4 linked regions of the Schizosaccharomyces pombe genome follow. The gene in region 3 interacts genetically with the main gene of each other region. Each region holds a gene or a part of one and is shown on either strand. Other genes may lie near its edges. The genes, in order: dbl2, nth1, rad55 and top2.

Evidence for each region.
Region 1: of rad55 (region 3) and dbl2, a mutation in one rescues a mutant of the other (synthetic rescue), as found in Schizosaccharomyces pombe (3 studies listed by BioGRID, with this or other methods).
Region 2: mutations in rad55 (region 3) and nth1 impair growth when combined (synthetic growth defect), as found in Schizosaccharomyces pombe (2 studies listed by BioGRID, with this or other methods).
Region 4: mutations in rad55 (region 3) and top2 impair growth when combined (synthetic growth defect), as found in Schizosaccharomyces pombe (one study listed by BioGRID).

Annotation. Positions count from the first base shown.
Region 1 is NC_003421.2:308,368-313,436, reverse strand, and holds dbl2 (DNA recombination protein Dbl2), read right to left. Parts: upstream 3,124-5,069; 5' UTR 2,899-3,123; coding exon 751-2,898; 3' UTR 542-750; downstream 1-541. Other genes in the region: SPOM_SPCC736.02 (uncharacterized protein), read right to left, coding at 1-254; qns1 (glutamine-dependent NAD(+) synthetase), read left to right, coding at 4,956-4,984, 5,029-5,069.
Region 2 is NC_003424.3:1,105,913-1,109,860, forward strand, and holds nth1 (DNA endonuclease III), read right to left. Parts: upstream 1,965-3,948; 5' UTR 1,929-1,964; coding exon 861-1,928; 3' UTR 618-860; downstream 1-617. Other genes in the region: Lsd1/2 complex PHD finger domain-containing protein Phf2, read left to right, coding at 1-291, 341-617; transporter Hfl1, read left to right, coding at 2,655-2,791, 2,847-2,934, 3,143-3,948. UniProt on the Schizosaccharomyces pombe protein: Bifunctional DNA N-glycosylase with associated apurinic/apyrimidinic (AP) lyase function that catalyzes the first step in base excision repair (BER), the primary repair pathway for the repair of oxidative DNA damage.
Region 3 is NC_003424.3:2,065,898-2,069,699, reverse strand, and holds rad55 (DNA recombination mediator, RecA family ATPase Rad55/Rhp55), read left to right. Parts: upstream 1-1,785; 5' UTR 1,786-1,935; coding exon 1,936-1,951; intron 1,952-1,995; coding exon 1,996-3,032; 3' UTR 3,033-3,258; downstream 3,259-3,802. Other genes in the region: SPOM_SPAC3C7.04 (transcription factor), read right to left, coding at 1-936; eisosome BAR domain-containing protein Pil2, read left to right, coding at 3,696-3,802. UniProt on the Schizosaccharomyces pombe protein: Required for radiation resistance and meiotic viability and acts in recombination and recombinational DNA repair pathways.
Region 4 is NC_003423.3:1,975,608-1,983,087, forward strand, and holds top2 (DNA topoisomerase II), read right to left. Parts: upstream 5,661-7,480; 5' UTR 5,160-5,660; coding exon 5,076-5,159; intron 5,050-5,075; exon of another isoform or gene 5,020-5,049; coding exon 646-5,019; 3' UTR 554-645; downstream 1-553. UniProt on the Schizosaccharomyces pombe protein: Control of topological states of DNA by transient breakage and subsequent rejoining of DNA strands. Topoisomerase II makes double-strand breaks.

The sequences.
Region 1 (5,069 bases), on a different chromosome or scaffold from region 3:
GAAAGAGTAAAATCAATAGGCATGAAGATAGGCGTATTATTCCTTAAAGATAATCGGTGTCTCAAACTACGAGAAGTCACTGCCAAATTCGAATTATTGGATAACAAAAATATTAATCTTAAAACTTCTAAAGGTAAAGACTCAAAAACCGTTAACGCTCTAGCTTTTCCATCAGTCAAATTATTTTTGACCTTTCTTTTCGTAATTTTTTCATTATAGTCATTTTTTATGGTCTGTTTTCGCTTTTTACCCATCTTTAACAAGATTTTTGGAGCTCACCAACAGACACTATTTAGTGCTGAAAAATTTAAACATGTATAGAAAATAAATGACTACAAAAGATAATTTAACTTAAAATATTTACAACATTTTCATAATAACCCAAATAGTTGGTTTTTTAAAAGAAAAGAATAAATCTGATACTTATTTGCTCAAAGGTTCAAAGAAGAAACTCAAGGTTTTGAAAAAGCAATGTATGTGCTACTAAAAAATGAAAATCAAAACCTAGAATTGTACTAACAACACCAAAAACAAGCTGAAATCTAATGTTTAAAAAAAAAAAATTAATTATATGTAAAAGAGCTAAATAAGTATAGCTAAAACCTAAATGAACTATGGAAAAATAAATGTTGATAATAATACATGAAGGAAACCAGAAATCAAAATTCAGTACTGTTTTTTGAATTAAAAATTATATGTAACAAAGTCGGCTTGAGAGAGAAGTTTCAACGTACGAAAGAAAAATTAATTTCAAATAAAGTCACCATCTTCGTCCGAATCGAGATCGCGTCCTTGTGTAGTCATGGCATGCTTAAATTTTAGCATTTTTAACTTTGCCCTTTTGATCTTGCTACTCGTTGAAGCAAGTGTTACTGTATTTACAAATGGCAAATCCGTAATGTTTGACGAAAAAGGCTCAATAGGTAACGAACAAGACTCTTGAAAAGTTGGTAAAATAGGAGATTTCTTTCCCGCTTTAGAAAAAATATCCGGAATTTTGGTAAGTATTTTCGGAGGCTTTTGGTTTTTGCTGGGTGAGAGATTTACAGCTCGAACAGTAGGCGAGGATGAAATGGTATCCGAAGGAGAAGAGTCCGTTTCAATAGCATTAGGAACATTTCCTTTTTTCTTTTGGACTTGGTCCGAAGAAGAAACAGTAAACGAAGGGACATTAAAAGGGCTAGAAAATACCGACACATTTCTGGATTTCGAGTTTTTAGGCAACGACGAATGTTCCCCTGAAGATATTATAGAAGTAGCTCCAAAACCGTCTTTTCTTTTCGAACCATTTGCATATTTAGGATATATCAACAAGCCTGTTCTCAGCGATACACCTGAATGTTTGGCCAAGGAAGGATGTTTGGCATGTTCAAGCACAGTAGAAGGTGAAACGTTAGGATTGACTGCATTGTTGGATTGTAGAAAGATTGAAGAAGAAGCACTAGATCCATTAAGTTCGTTTGAGCGAAGGGACGTGCCTAAGTGAGAGTGACTCCTACCAAACGAGGACGAAGATGCTGGTTTAACTAAAGGAGATGAAAAAGACGGTACACGAAACTTCACGGGTTGAAAGGCTTTTTTGTTGGGCAAAGCCAAAGGTGTTAAAAGAGATGACGAATCTAGCGAAGGAATGTGTTCATCCTCTTCTGATGCTGCATCTAGAAAATCAGGAGAGTTTGGTATTTCATTATCAGTTGTTTCTGTTACATTTTGAAGCGATGCCAGCTCGGCAGCAGTTTTGACACTTCTTTCGTACAAGTTTTTTGAGGGGTCGGTAACTGTGATATTAATAAAGTTTTGTCGTTTCCCCGTGGGTTTCCGAAGCAGAGGTAACGGAAGGCGAGTCAAACGGAGACGTTTAGAAGTAGGACTGGGTTCTGCAACAGAAGAATCTTGTCTTTGATGATCATCATTTAGCCCATCGTTTTTGTTGGAAGGTATGGTATTACAAGCGCGGGAAGAATGAGGAGATCGAGCATGATTATTAGAAACTTCTTCATTTCCATTTTCTAATGCCTTCACGGAGACACTTACGTTATCATTACTTAGGTTTTGTAACAAATGACCAGCATTTGAATTATTTAGAGTGGTAAAATCATCTGCCTCGAGATCGGCAGAAGGGGAAGAAAAAAAGTCAGAAGCTATGTCGTCTTCTCCAAATTCTTCTACAGGATCTTCAACCAAGGTGCCATTAAAAGACTTGGGTTTTGACAAAACAGGGATATATGCAATTTTCGAAGGTTTCGGTAGCGCAGTTACGGATGAGTTAGATGGGGGATAGGGAGAGGTATTGTTAGCTCGATTAGATTCCTCAACAGAAGAAGCTAGATATGAGTTTGGTCTAAACTTAGCTTTGGGTTGTATTTCCGGTGTTACTGACAGTTGATGCTTACTTGAACATCTCAAACTACCAATATCTGAGTCATCTACTCCATAAGATTGCAAATTTGCGTTCCGGAAGATCGTGGATTTTGTTGAATTTGTATGATGAGCGTGTGTTTTTAACATATTTGACGATAAAGCACCATTTGAATTGTTAGATACATCTGAGTTAGCGGAGTGAAATGGAGGCTGGAATGGTTTTAATAAATAAGCTGGCCTCTTCCCTGTCTCACTCAATTTTGATTTCCTCGGTATAGGTGGAATATTCGCTTCAGTAGTTGTTTGTAAATTCTCAACGTAAACAATAGTTCTATTAAATTCAATTTCAGAATCCAGAACAATTCTCTTGTTGTTAAGGAAAAAATCATCTACGACTCGGTTATCAGAATCGTAGAGAATTCCACGATTATTGAAGCTGTGGAAGCGCATTGTCCCATCTTTCCAAACTTTTACTTTTTTTGCTTTATCAGACGTCCACAATACTTGATAATGAAAAACATTGGAACTTGTATCCATAGAATATAAGTTTTAAAGCCTGTAAAGGCAGTTCCGAAAGGTGGCTTACGAAAAGCTTAATATTGTTGAAAAAAACTCACAAACCACCCTATTTAATAATTAATTAAAGAATAAGAGTGAGAATATCTATTTCATGTATAAACCTCATTTGAGCATTAATTGCTCTCGCTTTAGGAATGGGAATTACGTGCTTTTGTTGGATGGTAGTTAGGAAATGGTTGGTATACAGCAGAAAGTTGAAATCTAGGAAAGTAAATGATCTCAAGCCAGAAAATTACATCTTTGTAGAATCCTTAAACAAGGTTTCCTTTTCTTTTCTTTTTCTTTATGAACTACAAACGAGTTGAGCTTTTGGTTATTGATATGAGGTACTTGTTTACACGCCGAAATGATTGAAGGTAACTTTATAATACGCAAGCAGAAGCAGATTATCTCTTGAGATGGTTTCAAGAGAGATGCTTATTTTTATTAATTTTACTAATCTACAAGGTCTAATATTTGATGGGTTTTTCTTTAGTAAAAGGTCTCTTAGTGCCCAAGGAAGCAAAACTGTTAGATAATTTTCAATATCCTGTATCGAGAAACGGAAACAATGGTTAATAATCCCGATTGATAGTTTCATAGGGACAGACTGTGTGTATACATAATGATATATAAAAAAAGATGTCTTTTTTCACCTTAAACCATGAAGTTTACAGTTGAGCTTACAGAGGCAGATTGCTTCAAATATTCGTAATGTAAAATTATTTATCTTGTAAATTTGTATCTATCGTCGCATTATAATAGAGAATCTAAACATAGCAGTTGGAGATAAAACTGATTCTTTTGTTCTTCTATCGCTTTTGAGGTTTGCAGGCAAGAAAATTCATCAAAGATGATTGATGATACGATTAGGTGCAAAAGTACTTATGTTATAATTTTAGCAACATAAAAGGCCTATAGAGGGTAATTCTGCTCGAAATCTTGAACTTGCAATTCTCATCACCATGTCGAAGATAGGTACAAATTAAGTTATTAAAGTTGGTTTAAGCGCACTGATAGAAATTTACCTAAAATTTAGTACTTGGACGAAATTTAGGAGAAAAAAGCCCAAGAAGATGAAGAAAGTTGTTTCATTGTAATAATAAACCTGAAATCTTTTGTCAATTCTAATTAATACCCTTTCAAAAAAGAAGACTGATCTTTGCAATCACTAAAACTATTAAATTTATTGAGCAGCTGAAGAATCATCTGTCTATAATTTGCAACAAGAAGTAACTGAAGGGGAGTTAAAAAATGAGTATCAACCATTATGGCATCTGTCGCTTTGCTTCTTCTTCTTTAAGCTAAGTAATTTCGATTATATGCTCCAAGAACTAAGTATATTAATTAAATCATGAAATATTTTCAAGGATAAAATTAAAACAATTTTGTACTATTAAAAAAATGTAATTACTGTTGTGCGTATTCCAGATATCAGCTTGCTCTATAATCATCAAAAAACCTGTAATTATAAGCGAGTAACACTAATAAAACCAGACAGACTTTAAATCAAAAAATTTCATTTATTAGCTCGTATATCTGAAAAAGATAGGCAAATTTTTTTATTAAAGGAAGTCCCAGAAATGACTTCACTTGAGAAGATATATCGCTAAAACTAGAATTTGTATTGCAATATCAAATAAAAATTACAATTATTCTGATTTTATAAATCAATTTTTAAGCTATGTAGTAATGTACAATTAATACACATGTAGTTAGAAGAGTCGCCAAAATTTGCATAAGAAGTATTAAGGTTCTTTTTACTAATATCAGAGAGGGTCTTTAAAATTATTTAAATTTTCTTTTTCTTACTTAGGGAAACTGGCATTTTTGCTATATGATGCGAACCCTTTATTTACACTTGACTCTACTATGACAACTACCTCCTGCTCTTACTTACTGCCATAACCGTGAATAGACATTTGAATAGAAACTTCGATCTTCACTCATAGTTGGAACTTTTATAGTACGAAAAAAACATTATAAGTTAAATTACTTGTTTGGGAATAAACCTCAAGTTAAGCATTCAGTTCATTATGGAACGATATGTAACCATCGCATCTTGGTATGCTATAATCATTTTTCGTCTCAATGATCTAACTTCTGTAGTCAGCTGAACCAGTGGGCAATGGACTTTGAGGGAAACCGTC
Region 2 (3,948 bases), 960 kb from region 3:
CCAAAGCAAAAGGTCTGCCTTTACAGCTACTATGAATGAACCTGTAACGGGAGATCAGTATCTAAGTCTAAATAATGGAACAGAATCACAATCGAAAACAACCAAGCATTCGACGTCCTTACCTTCGACCGAACCAGTTGAAGTGGATAAGCAATACATGGAGAGTGAAAAAATTCCTACCATAGATGAATACTTACAAGAATATAGCAATGAAGATGAAATAGTTTTACAAGTTTTAGAATCTTTCCCTGCTGCTGTTTCTTTTTCTACTATCACTAACACTATTCAAGCGTAAGTTTTCTATATATTTTCCTGACATCGTCAATTACTAATATTCTAGTAAATACTCGAATAGAAAAATTAAAAATTCGAACATAACTCGAAGCTTAAACAGACTGGTCCGTAAAAACCGTGTTTTACGTGATGCGAGGGGTAGCAGCTATGAACTGAACAGAACGTTTGATGCCGATCGACCATCAGTGCGCCCTGACATATCTATAACCGGCCCCATTCCTATCGATTGGATGCTGTATACGCCTCACACAGAGGATTTAACCGAAAACTTTTGTACTTATTATATGTTCGACGAAACTCCAATTGTTCTTAGTAGTATTTAACGAGTATCTTACATTCTGCATTGTTTGTTGAAGGGTATAACAACATTAATGATTTCAATTTATTCCAAGATTTAAAAAAATTATTAAAAAGTAAAGGTAGAGGATATTATAACTATACAGTCAGTAGCAAAAGGTTCTTGAATATGTTTAAAGACGGAGTTGTAAAGAATAAATAATTTTGAGTAATTCATGTAAATAAATAACAGATTTATGTTGTCCAAAATTTACGGTCCTAAAAATAAATTAAACCAGATCTTCAATATCTTGTAAACTTTGTTGGGAGAAATACTGGGATGATTTTTTTGCAACTCGCTTTGACCTGCGCAGTGACCTAGTTTCTTTTGTAGTTGAATGGAATGCGACAGGTGGCTTCTGATCTACATCAATATCAGCGGCTGGTTCTTTTTTCAAAGGTTCATTCATGTGTGATATACTATCAACAGGGTCCAAGTCCTCAAGTTTTATAAGTGATTTATCTTCGATGCTTTGGTAATACAAATCATCTGTAGGAAGGGAGAGTGGAGATAGAGGAGGTGACTCAGAAGCAGGTCTTTTTTTGACTCTTTTAATCGTTTTGACTTTTCTCTTAGTTATTGTGATGCCACTTTTTTCTTTAAAGGCGCTAGGACACAAGCCCTTAGAAGATAAAGTACACATATCACAGCGCCTTCCTCTTGGTAAACAGATTGTTTGCCCAAAACCGACAAGTGTATGGTTCAGCTCAAACCATAATTCCTTAGGCAGCCAGCTTTGCAAAGCAGCTCTAGTCTGTTCTTCAGTTTTCGTATTACACCAATGAAGAAGATTACATATACGATGTACGTGAACATCTACTCCAATTCCAACAGTTTTATTCCATGCAATACTCATACATAGATATCCCATTTTAGGCCCCACACCTGGGAGAGTCATTAGGTCTTCTACGGTGTCCGGAATATCTCCTTGGAACTTTTCTGATAAAATACGTGCCATTTGTTTCAAATAAATGGTTTTTCGGTTATGAAAACCAACTTTCTCGATTAGTTTATTTAGAGAAACTTCATCAATATTTTGGATATCTTCTAAACAAAGTCCTCCAGCTAATTTTTCTTTTAAGTTTCGCATGGTAGGACCCAGTACTATATCTTTTGTTTGGCTAGAAAGCATCAATGCCACCAGTGTTTGAAATCGAAATTTTTTTGGATCATTACGTTCTCCTAATGTATGACAACCCTGAACGTCTACAGGCGCTACGACCTTGGCTTTCATTTTACAAATTTCATCGTAAACCTCCCTCCAGTTCTCAGGAGGAGTTCCGTAGTCTTTACTCATTGCTTAACAAATACAAATTTGTCTGCAGTCTTGGCTAAAGATTTTATTTTCTTCAACAACTCATTTACTGAACTTTAGCGATATTACATCCAAGAAACAACGCAGGTGAGCGCAAAAATATTAAAATTTATAAGTGATTTGTTTTGAATACAATGCGGTAATAGTCTGACTTGGAGTTTCTCAATTTTATAAAAGAAATAATTTTTTAACTAAGCCATATATATGCCAAGGCGAAATTCTCCTACGCATTAAGAAACAAACACTCATTATATTTTACTGCTTCTTTTTCAAAAAGTCAGCTTAAGAATCATCAGAATGCTATGGGAGACATTACTTTAGGTCCTCCATCATACAGAAGGGAGGAAAGTAGAGTTTAAAAAAAAAACAAAAATTAGATTAATTAAAGATCACGAATTGCTAGTATTATGGAAACAAATGATTTTTACAGCAGTACTACAGCTATAGGGCAAATTATCCTGTAAGACAGTATTATTAATTTACTTTTGCTATAAAACAATATCCATACTAAAGAGGTAAATCAATATTAGCTTCGATGAACTCTTCCACATCACAAAGTTTCGGTACTTTATCTATAGCTTATGCGTACAAACACCGTAAAGCCCGTAGTAGGTAGTATCTGTTTGGAATTGGAGAAGGCCCCCTTATAGCTTGTGGTAGCCACCTTGCCTGCATTTTTGTCCCTTCATCACGATCAGCTCTAATTTCATGGACAACGAAATAGTCGCATTATGCGGCTTCTTCGTAGCCATTGCTTTAGTGCTATCATGTATTTCTATCATTACTCATTTGAAAAATTACAAAAAACCAGTCTTACAGCGTTCTGTGGTGCGAATTTTGATGATGTTCGTAAAATTGAAATTCTTTGACTGATATAGAAATGTACTAATGCTTTGCTAGGATTGTAATTTACTCTTCTGTATCGTTTTTATCGGTATACAATGAAAAAATTGGAAGTATTTTCGAACCGTTTCGTGAAATTTACGAGGTAGGTTTTTCTCATTTAGCCGTTGCCATTGAATGAAGTACCTTCCTTGGCAATCAATATATTGCAGATTTGTTTTAAAATGCTTGAAAAGGGGTTGACTGAAAGAGTGGTTTGGCTGTTATGAGTTGTACTATGTTGGTTTACTAGTTTAGTTAGTTAATGAGGCGTAATTGAGGTTTTAATGGAATAATTTCTAACAATAAATTAGGCATTCGCTTTGTATTGCTTTTTCTGTTTATTAATTGATTATCTTGGCGGAGAACGGGCTGCAGTTATTAGTTTGCATGGACATCTGCCTCGTCCTAGGTTATGGCCCTTGAATTATTTGCAAGATGATATTGACCTAAGTGATCCTTACACCTTCCTTTCTATAAAACGTGGGATTTTACAATACACTTGGCTTAAACCATTTCTGGTGATTGCCGTGCTGTTAACAAAAGTCACCGGAGTCTACGACAGAGAAGATCAACCTGTTTATGCTTCTGCAGACCTTTGGATAGGTCTTGTTTATAACATTTCAATTACGCTTTCTTTATATTCACTAACAACTTTTTGGGTTTGCTTGCATGAAGAGCTCGCTCCTTTTCGCCCTTTCCCAAAATTCCTTTCCGTTAAAGCTATTATATTTGCCTCTTACTGGCAGCAAACCGTTCTTTCCATTACAAACTGGCTGGGACTTTTAAATGGAACAGGCTGGATTTACTCCTTACTAAATCAGAACGTTCTCATGTGTTTAGAAATGCCCTTTTTTGCCCTCTCACATTGGTACGCTTTTCGAATCGAGGATTACGATACACCCACATGGCTGTCTTGTGCAAGACTACCGCTCCTTAAAGCCTTTAAAGACGTAATCGGGTTGAAAGACGTCTGGTGCGATAGTTTGCAAACTCTACATGGAGATCGTTATGTATATCAAAATTTTGAGCCTGGGGAGAACTTAATACCTTCAAGAAACGATGGAAGGATTAATAGAACAAGTCATGGTCTTCGGTACAGTCAGGGAGGTCAATCGAA
Region 3 (3,802 bases):
TGCAAAGATCATCATTAGCAAGCAAAGAAAGCCAGGGTCAACGGATGGATTTTGGAAGCTCATGATAAGGTTTAAACGATAACGAAGTAATGTTTCATGGAAAAAGAAAAAATTTGCTTGAACATGGCCATAGAAAGATTTGATAAGAAAATCTGAAACTTCAGGAGGAGGGAGAAGACTCAGCGCTTTTTGAACAGCATTTACATCATGTTCATTCGGAGGATAACTGTGATGGGTATGGGAATACGCGCTCAGCTCGGAAAAAGAAGGATCGACAAGTAGTTCACTTTGAACAGAGTCAACGAATGCTTCACCAGCAGAAGCTCCTATATAACGGGATTCGCCGTTAGAGTCAACTTTTATTTTTCCAATTAATTTCATGATTTCGTCAACGCTTTGATCGCTAGCATCAGCATTGATTCCATTGTTCGTATCCTCTGCTACGACCGTTGGATCTTGCTGAATTTGTGAACAAACAAGTGCACCTTGTGTAAGGGTATCCACGTCACGTTGACTATTGGTGCTTTCACTATTGAGGGAAAAGACATCTGAAGATAATAGTGATTTTTGGTTGCTTATACGATTGCAAACTTCAATCAATGAAGGTGTAGTATAAGTCGAAACTTTGGTGGAACAAAGACGTTCAACAATATATTCTAAACACTTGTATCTTTTTGAAAGATCAATAAAGTAGTCCTTAGAATAATCCATTTCTTTTTCATCCTTTACTGGATATGTGCATTCCAAATTATTGGAAGCACAAGCTTTGCATGGGTTTGCCCCGTCGCAACGAACTTTCCGGGCTTTGCAGTTAAAGCAGGCTAGAACCACCCTTCTTCGTCTCTCCATAGGAACACGACGTCTCCTATTATGCTGCTCCTGCTTCATGGCTTCGAACAGAACCGCCGTATTTTCAGGTGAAAATTCATGGCTCATTTTCCCCGTTTATGTTAGTAAAATACCAAGTTCATACCAATTTCCATAAATTTAAAATTCTTTTTCTATATTACAGAATTTCAATTCTGAAAAGAGAAAATGCTTAACTATGGCAATGACTTGGCAGAACTTGATTAGTAAATGCCTAAAAGAAAAAATTGTAGTACCCCAGCTCCTATGTTCTACTGGAGGGCGTAATTTAGTGTAGTGGTACGAACCTTTTTTATCAACGAAATCTAATATATACACATATTATTAGTATATGAGACCTTGTTTATACATAACTTTAAGAAAAAATCTAACCGATTTTAAATTTTTGAAAAATAAATACTGCTTGTATTGTACTTTGAAAATGGGAACTTCCGTCAATTTCTTTTCGTTGACGAGCTTATACGTTTATTGAAGCATGGCATGCAATCGATTTTTGTTAATAATTTTCCATTTTAGTATTTCTTCAATAAAATGAGTATTGTGTACATAGTAAACTAATTGCACACATATCGGTCGACACGCTATTTCATAAACGGAATGTAGTACGAAAATAATAGCTATTTTGATTAAAACCCTCTTGAGTTTCAATACAAATGTAAATGTTGCGTTATATGAACCCAAAGTTTAAAGTTCAAAGTCAAAGGCAGTAATGAATCATAGATTCAAATGAACTTGAGCTTACTCTTGCATTCCTGTTGACCTACCTAGTCAAATTTCCCATTATGTATAAAGGTTACGAATTTGTTACCTTCTAATCTGCTTAACCTTAAGACTAAAATAATTTATTCCTTATAAGAAACAACATTTAATGAAATGATTGCAAAGTAAAACACGTAGGATTTCCTTTGTCGTTCTACCAACACCTCCAAACCTTACAACGTATCGTTGTTTCTCATGTAAAGGGAAATTTTCCTATATCCTTTTTATGCTGTTATCAATTTAATATAAACTGTATCGCTGTTATTCTAGTAGGTCGCACTGTGCTGGATTTAACCTTCATTGAAATAAATGCTGTCTAGTCAACGTATGCGACTTCCAGCCTAGCTAACTGTGTCTAATACTTTTTAGATCGTCTAGTGACTCAACCTGCTATTCGTGCGTACGAAGCATTTTCTGCTCCAGGTTTCGGCTTTAATTCAAAATTATTGGATGATGCGTTTGGAGGAAGTGGTCTTAAAAGAGGGTATATTTCTGAAGTATGTGGAGCACCTGGGATGGGAAAAACAAGTTTGGCTTTACAGATTACTGCAAACGCTCTTCTTTCCGGTTCTCGTGTGATTTGGGTCGAAACTTGTCAACCAATTCCCATGGAGAGACTTCGTCAACTATTAGACAATCACGTCCCTTCTTCCCAAGATGAAGAGGAAAAATGCGATACTGATGAGTTATTAAATCTTCTCGATGTTGTATATGCACCCAATTTAGTGAATATTCTAGCTTTTTTACGAAATTTCGATCAAGAAAAACATCTTAAAGAAATTGGATTATTAATTATTGACAACCTATCAATGCCTATTCAACTTGCATATCCAACCAGTCCAGAAGATTATGCTTATCTACGTCTTCGTCGTAATACCAGCAAAAAAAGCTCCCTTTCAGATTCATCTCAAAAAGAAAACACTTTGACGTTAAACAAAGAAAATGAGTTCTCGAGTAAAGACGACTCGAATTTTGCATTTCATAACTCCTCTACCAAAACAACAATAAACCGCAGAAAAAAGGCAATCGGTACAATCAGTTCTTTGTTAAGCAAAATTACATCCTCTTGTTATGTGGCTATCTTTGTTACCACCCAGATGACTTCAAAAGTTGTTAGTGGGATAGGTGCTAAGTTGATACCGCTTCTCAGCACTAATTGGTTAGATAATCTATCTTATCGGCTCATTCTTTACAGTAGGCATTCAACTGAAGAATCAAAAGATGGACAGAGTCGTCCCTCTCATCAGCTTCTGCGCTATGCATTCATGGCAAAGCAGCCACCAGCTCATTCTGCAGAATCAGAGTTGGCTTTTCAGTTAACATCTACTGGTATTCAGGATTATCAAAGTATTCCTACCAATAGCTCACAACGACGTAAGAGATCCATTTTGGAATGTGAGTCCTAGGTAAAAATGGTGGCTTCAGTTACGAATTTTTTAGCATAGTGATGGTTGTTTTGCCCATATCTATTAATTTATTATACCTATTCATTACGTTGCATAAACAACTATGAATACTTGTCGAGTGTTGGTCAAAAGTTTCTCAATGATTTATTTGTGATCTCATATCTTTTCATAATGTATCATAAGCTATTTTGTTCGTTCATTTTTATGAAATTGCTAATTGTCATAGAGGAGGGAAATGATTAAGATATCTATATGTTTGCTGATTGACAAGTCCTTATTAATTTTCAATTGTTTAGGTGTCGCATTCAGTGTACGGACAATAATGACATTATGCTTTCGACATATAAATTCCATGTTGACATAGTGACGTCTCAAGCCTAGCTCAAATCTTTAAAACATGGGTTCAAGTCGCTAAAAATCTACCTGAACTTTACAGCTCTTTTGTTACTTTCGAAAGTGTAGTCTAATAAGTCCATTTTGAGCCTGACCTTATTTATACTTCGCTTTGTCTAGTGTGAGTTGGCGGATTAAGTATGTTTTAATGAACATTGTTTCAACCTACCTCTAATTAACATACTAACCTTTTTATTAGTATTTCCTTTCTCTTTTTATATATACATATTTTCAAAGTCTTAAATCGTTTATCAAGTAATTAGCAAGATGATGGGCACTCAACCATCTTACTCTATTCATACGCTTCGCGCGCCTCCTAAAGCGAAACAGAATCAAATTCCTCCCTCTACTACCCGTCGTGCAGTAAATGTTAATAA
Region 4 (7,480 bases), on a different chromosome or scaffold from region 3:
TTGAAGAAGTTTTGTTGTGAAATGGTTTCGTGAAAGTTTCAGACCCTACCGCAAAAATGCCTGGTTTCGGGAAACTCAACACTGTTGCACTTTTTATACTACAGATTGGGATATCGATAATATTGCGTAAAAAATCCTTTTTTTAAAAAGCTTGTTTACAGTAACGTAAATGACCAGAAATCAGATGAAAATCACAAGAAAGCAAATAATTCACGTTAAATCCTGATATGTTTGATTTTGTGATGAAATCATGGATGTTCATAGGAATTGTTGAAATTGCGCTTTTTTAACGAAATATACAAGTATCCTGGAGCTTACTTAATTAATTAATGAATCTTTGTTTCTAGATATTAAAATAGTAGCCTCAATTATCAGCGCTTTCTACGTTAGTAAACGAAATTTTTAATGTCAAAAAAATGTTTAATAGACAGTACGAATATGCATTATAATGTTCATAAATAATTTGAGTATGTGTACGAGTTGTCTTTAAACCCACAGAGGTAGAATGTATATATAAAATTAATAAGCTAAGTGTAATACTTAAAAAATACATTAATTGGAACTCGTATCCTACCATTTACAATGTTCATCCAATTTTTTCAGATTGTACTGTAAATAGCGTTTGAAAACACCAAATTTTAGAAGCTAATCACTCTCATCATAATCGTCTACATCCTCATCGTTATCGACGATAAAAGAATCATCTTGCATGCTGGGTTCATCCATGCTATCAAACGAGGGATCAACGTAAATAGGTGTTTTCACTGTAGCCGCTGCTCTTCTGGTTGGCCTCTTTCTAATCGGAGAATCTGAATCTTCTGGTGGCTCTGCGTTAGTCGAACTAGCTTTTGGAGTTGAACTACTACCTGGAATAATAAAATCATCATCGTCATCTTCAGGTGATTGTTTCTTTACCGAGCTTGCTTTTTTCCCTTTATTCTTCGCAGAAGCCTTCGTGGATGTTATGGTGGAAGGTTTCAAACTGCTAGGCAACAAATCATCTTCATCGTCTGAAGAAAATATGGTAGTAGCAACTGGTTTATTAGTCTTTCTTCCTCTTCCAGACGCCGAGGCTGCTATTTTTTTGACGGGTTTTTTACTACCTGCGTCTTCAGAGTCAACAGATTGACTTCTTTTTCTTGATTTTCCACTATCACTGCTATCCAATCCCGGGCTCTTAGATATGCGATTTTCTTCAACTGATAAGCCATGAGAGTTATCCTCTGTCTTGACAATGTTTATGTCAGATGATTTCTCAGGTTCTTTCGACGCTGCGAACTCAAGTAAAGTTTGTTGCTTTCGATTTGTTGTAGATGGTTTGGATTCGCTGCTAGCTTCTTTTTTAACAGCAGTACTTGAGGAGGATCCGGCAATAGCCCTGGGTTTCCTAGTACCAGTGGATTTACCTCGAGGCTTCTTTTTCGTTCGATTTACAAAATCTCTAGAGGATTGCTCTTCTTCTAACATTTCTCTCTGAATATCATCCATAACCTTATTCCAAGCATGCTCAAATGCATCCAAATCATGAAGCCACAATTCTTTAGGAGTTTTTTTAATCAAAGCATCCAGTTCGGCCATTACTTCGTCCTTTTTCTTGAGAAGTTCCACATACCGTTCATAGGTCAAAGACCATAAAGGCATTGAAAGAAGGTAATTGTAGGCATCTGAATCCTCGTCTTGCGAAACATCACCAGATTGTTCTTCTTCAGCAAGAGCATTTTCAACTTCTAAATCAACCAAATGCCCTTTCTTTGGTTTACTGATAGGTTGAAACTTCTTTTCCTTCAGCTCCACAATGAGATCCTTTTTCTTCTTTTTTGAAACTACAAGCTCCCCCTCTATAATCATATGAATAAACCGCGCTTGATTTGAAAATCTATCAAACCTTTTTTCCAATTCATTAACCATATGCTCTTTACGTCTCTGGTATGTCCTTAAACGTACTTCGTAAAACTCGGTCAAAATATCTTCAACACTGTCATACTTCTTGATCCGTCCAGATGCATCAAAAGCAATCATATTACTCGTTGCTTGAGTACGCGACAGTTTAAACTTAACTTCCAAGGATTCATTTAATGCTTCTTTCATGCCAGCTTCGGTAAGCGTGACATTAAAGTGAACATTTCCTTCACCGTGATGGCTTTCATAGTCCACGATGAATTTACGAATTTTTTCCGTACCAACAAGACCAGCCTCCAGATACTCCTTCATATCCTGAGTCCAAAATCGTATAGGCAATTCAGTAATTTCTACTTTGTTTTCACCAATTTGGTTAATTATACCAGATATTTTGTACCTGTCAGGCGCAACTTTCGTTATACTTCCACGAAAGCCGCGGTACCAGGGAGTCATAATTTCCAAAGGCTCGCCATTAAGCATATGTCTTAAATTAGCAGTTATATCCTTAGGGTTATAATTAGGAATAAAAGTAGACCAGCCAGTACCAATACCTTCGGCTCCATTGACAAGTACCATGGGAAGAATTGGCACATAATACTCTGGTTCAATCCACTGGCCTTCGTCGTTTTGGTAATTAAGAAGCTGGTCATCATTGGAATTAAATAAAACACGTGCTAAGGGTGATAAAGCTGTATTTAGATACCTTGAAGCCGATGCATTTTTTCCACCCTCAGATCGTGTACCGAATTGTCCATTAGGCATCAGCAAATTAATGTTGTTACTGCCAACAAAATTTTGGGCAAGATTAACTATAGTTTGCTCCATCGAAACCTCGCCATGGTGGTATGCAGTTTCACTAGCAACATAGCCGGCAAGTCTACTGACTTTAGTTTCATGGACGAGATTGCGTTTAAAACAATAATAGACAACTTTACGCTGACCAGGCTTCAAGCCATCTACTACTGAAGGAATCGAACGGATATTATCAGCCATACTGAATTGGATAAGCTCTCGATTAATGAAGTCATCAATCGGAATCTGAGGTTGAGTATAATCCATATATATACCAGGTCGATACGTTCTAAGCCATTCCTTACGCACATCGGCCTTTTTCTTGGCAAATGCCATTTCAATTAATTCAGCATCCTTCTCCTGCATGGCATGAAAGTACTTCATGTGACGATCAAGGTCTGAAAAATAACTTTTCATATCGTCATGGTCACTTGTTCCCAAACCCTTGTAGTATTTAATTTTCCAACCACGTCCATTGTTATTAGCTTCCTTCCAGTATTCGTACTCGGGTAAAGTGTAAAATGCTTGAACCTGATTGCCACGAGTGCACTTAATGATAGGTGTGATAAATTGGATCAAGAATCCAGGAATTTGCAAAAGAGAAGGATACGAGGATTCTAAATAATTAATAATTAAACCTTTAATATGTGATCCATCATGATCTTGATCTGTCATAATCATTAAATGACCATAACGAAGACCTTTCACATCGGTATAAGTTTTTTTATGAGTGAATCCCATGATTTTCTTGATAGCTTGAATTTCTTTGTTATTTAGGATTTGGGAATGAGAAGCCTCCCGTACATTCAGTAGTTTTCCTCTTAACGGAAAAACTCCATAATAGTCTCTACCAACAACACTGAGACCCGAAACAGCTAAAGATTTAGCAGAATCTCCCTCAGTGAGGATAAGGACACACTTATGGGATTCTTTGGTACCCGCTTTATTTGCGTCTTCGAGTTTGGTTAAACCCGTTATACGAGAACGCAAACCCCCATCGCCCTTACTGAGTTGCTGATCTGCCTTAGCGGTAGCAAATTTTAAAACCTCCTCCACTACAGAAGATTTTTTGATAGCTTTTAAAAATTTATCACTTAATGTGCATTGAGAGCCAAAAGCAGAAACTTTCGTGGTGAGAGTCTCCTTTGTTTGGGAATCAAAGGATGGGTTCTCTATTTGACAATTGACAAATACCTGTACGTAATTTTTTATTTGAAACGCTTTAACGGGTGCCTTTTTATTCTCCTTCTTGACGACTTCATCTATAGCATCGACAATTTTATTGGCAACATAATTAACATGTGTACCTCCACGAATGGTAGAAATATTGTTAACAAACGAAACCTGCTTAAACTGTCCATCTGAAACAGCAAAGGCCACGTCCCAACGGTCATTAACATGTTCATAAATTACCCTAGGAGGCTCTTCATCAGGTTTAGTGTCAGAAGCAAGATACATCTCCACATATTTCTTAAATCCACTTATACTGATGCGTTCATTGTTCAGGTAAACTTTAGTTTCACGAACGGTACCTGCCATATCATAAATACGGCGTTTTATAATAGATACCATATCATCATCAATCTTGTCCATACCAAATTTTGCTAAATCGGGTTTGAATGTAATTTTTGTGTATTCATCGGGTTTCTTGAGAGAAGTGATCACTGGCTCAGACTTTCTGGACATATTGTCATACCAAGTTTGTTTATATTTCTTCATCCTTTCCTTATCAGCTGTCTCAACGACAAATTCAGTAGAAAAAATATTGCAAAGTTTTGCGCCGTAACCATTTCTTCCTCCTGTTACCTTCTTTTGATTATCGTCGTAATTGCTTGAAGTAAGCAAGTTACCAAAAATAAGCTCGGGGATGTAAATTTTCTCTTTATCATGAATCTCTATAGGAATGCCCTTGCCATTGTTATAAATTGATATGACATTTGCTTCAGGATCCAAAGTCACCTTTAGGGTATTCATGTTTGGGTCGCGAACTTTGTTGTCAGCAGCATTGACAATTATTTCGTCAAATATCTTGTAAAGGCCTGGAACATAGGTCACTGCTTTGTAATCCAGCTTGTTCTTCTCAGAGTCAAAGACCCACATTTCAGAAGTCGTTGGCTCAATACTGCCAATGTATGTATCCGGACGTCTTAGCACATGCTCTCTCGGTGTAAGACGCTGGTACTGTGTAGATACATTAGAATTTCCATTTCCGTTGTTGGTAACTAGTGGTATCTGTTCAGAAGCTGTCATGGATGTCAAGCTAGTTTGCCTTAAGTCAGGAGTGCTTGCCTTCTTGGCGCGAGACTTTGAGGATGTTGTAGATGCTTTCTAAAAAAGTTGTTAGTATTTTAAAATAATAATAAATTCCACAAACACTTGCATACCCTTTTGGTGGTTGTGTTAGGTAAAACGTTTTCGTCTCCAGACGCTTCATCTTCATAGTCGGAGAAATCCGCATCAATGGACATAGTTTGTAAAATTAAGTTGGAAATATGTAGTAAATCAAAGGTTATTCCAACGTGTAAACGTTATTATTAAAAAATCAATGGATATAATAATGACACGCTTTAAGCAACGTCAAATAACAAAATTAAGATATGTAAGAAGAGAAAATGATATTTGCCCTTAGTATACGATATTAAAAAACGAATGGAGAAGTGACCTGAAAAAAAAGTAATGGATAAAAAAGAAGGTAGAACGAATGAATACCAAATATAATGTTTTTTGTTAATTTGGATTAATTTTTTGGTTTAAAAAAGTATTAAATAGATATTCAAGCGTTTATATCACCACAGACTGATTCACGTATGTAGAAAGTCGGTCAAAGCAAACGCGTGACGAAAAACTAATAGTATGATGGAAACTTCAGAGATTGTATGTATGATAGTACTAATTTAAATAGTTTGTTTAAAAGCTCTAAAGGGCTATGTGTTCAACTATCCCAACAATGATTGAAGTTGGTAGCTGGTGAAGGATAGGAAGAGAGAACAGAACATAAGTAGATAGAAGTTGCAACCGAGGAATTGATTACTACGGAAAAAGAAAAAGAAAATTATTTTTAAGAATAAATAGCAAAAGAAAGGATTTCTAAATTTCCGTGCGTTATTAATATAGGGATGCGCTTAAAACATAATTGAAGTCTGTAAAAAAACCGTATTTGGAACATATGCTGTAACTAATTTGTAAAGCAAATGTAATAATTAATTAATTGTATAATAAAGAATGTTTGTGCTTTGAAATTAAAATTGAAATTCTTGGTGCTATTTTATATAGTATGGAATAAACAAAGGATTTTGAAAATGGAAAATGAATGTTTAGATAAATCCATAATTCATGAGTATGCTCGCAAAGATTGTAAAAGAATTGAGTGACCTATTACAGTTGGTCATTTGAAAGAAAAACGCTAAACACGATAAAAAGAGATGAACGGAAAGCAATGATGGAAACAGAAACTGCTTTTTTAAATTCTTCTTGATTGTACCATCAGCATTAATCCATATTATTTCGATTAAGCTGTTCTTGAAACATTGTTGTATGTAACTATCATTAAGTTCAAACAATTTAATAGTAATTTTGTGAATATAGCTTCTCCCTCTATTTAACAATTGCAGGTATGAAACAGGAACAAAAACATAGAAAGAACTCTCAAACAACAGACTCATCTAATAAATGCAATAAACTTTTTTCTGAAAATCTTAAAAGAAGCTGCAAATGTAACAAAAAATGGTAGGCCCAGCAGATAGCTGATGCATGGGTTTAAGTATTTCCATTATTTATCGATGTTGCCAACCAATTCCCATTAATGGACGAAAAATAGTGTGAAGTCGATTGTTTAATAAGGAGAGTTACAAAATGGAAGCGCAAGACAAACGCATATTCGGAGTCACTCTTTCAAGGTATAAGCAAGCATTGGATAGCCAAAACGAAATGTGTAGGATCTGAGCAAGAAAAATGCTTTTTGAAGTATCTCAGACAGCTGCTCATAAGTCAGTAAGCGATAAATTATTTAATGGAAGAAAAGAGTGGATCAATAGATCGGCGGCTTCTTTCATTGGATATTCGCACAAAATGTTAATTGACCTAAATTTGAGCCATCTAACATAACCATCACTTCCCTAATTTCCTGTGTATAATAGTCCAAAAAAACGGAATCGGACATCGCGAACATATTCCGCTCGATCAGAGCAGATCAAAAGGTTGATTCTTCAGTGTCCCACATTATAAGGCTATTTCTCGCTTACCAAGGAACACATCAGACCTCCTGAACTTATCCTCCACCAACGTCCTCTTCATTTTAAAATTCATTTTATTGAAAAAAAATCATATTTCTAGCTATCTTGCACCTCTATTTGGCCTTTGCTTATCCCCGGATCCACGTTGGATATTTGCTCGCCTATCGAATAGTATATTAAAAAAAGTTCGCTTGAGAAAAAAATTATTTGTCAAAGTCGAAAGTGGAAAGACGTTTTTAAAAGAAGTATTTTGTGGCAAAGAAGTCAATATCTAAGAAGAAAAAAAGTTTCGGTTGATCTGTAACTAAAATCAGCGTCAAAATAGCATCACCAATACGTCCGAGTGAGAAGCATCAAGGTTCCTCAAAATCAAGAAAAACTTTACCAATATTACTTCTATTGTTTTATCTAGCATTAAAAATAATTTCATTTAAATACAATCCTAGAGCGGGATTGTTGAAAAGAAACCCAACCTAATCTTAGTTTATTTGAATTTGCTCAGCTAATTTTGAATGTGACTATATTGAACACTCAAATTGGCTAATTCTTCGTTTAAC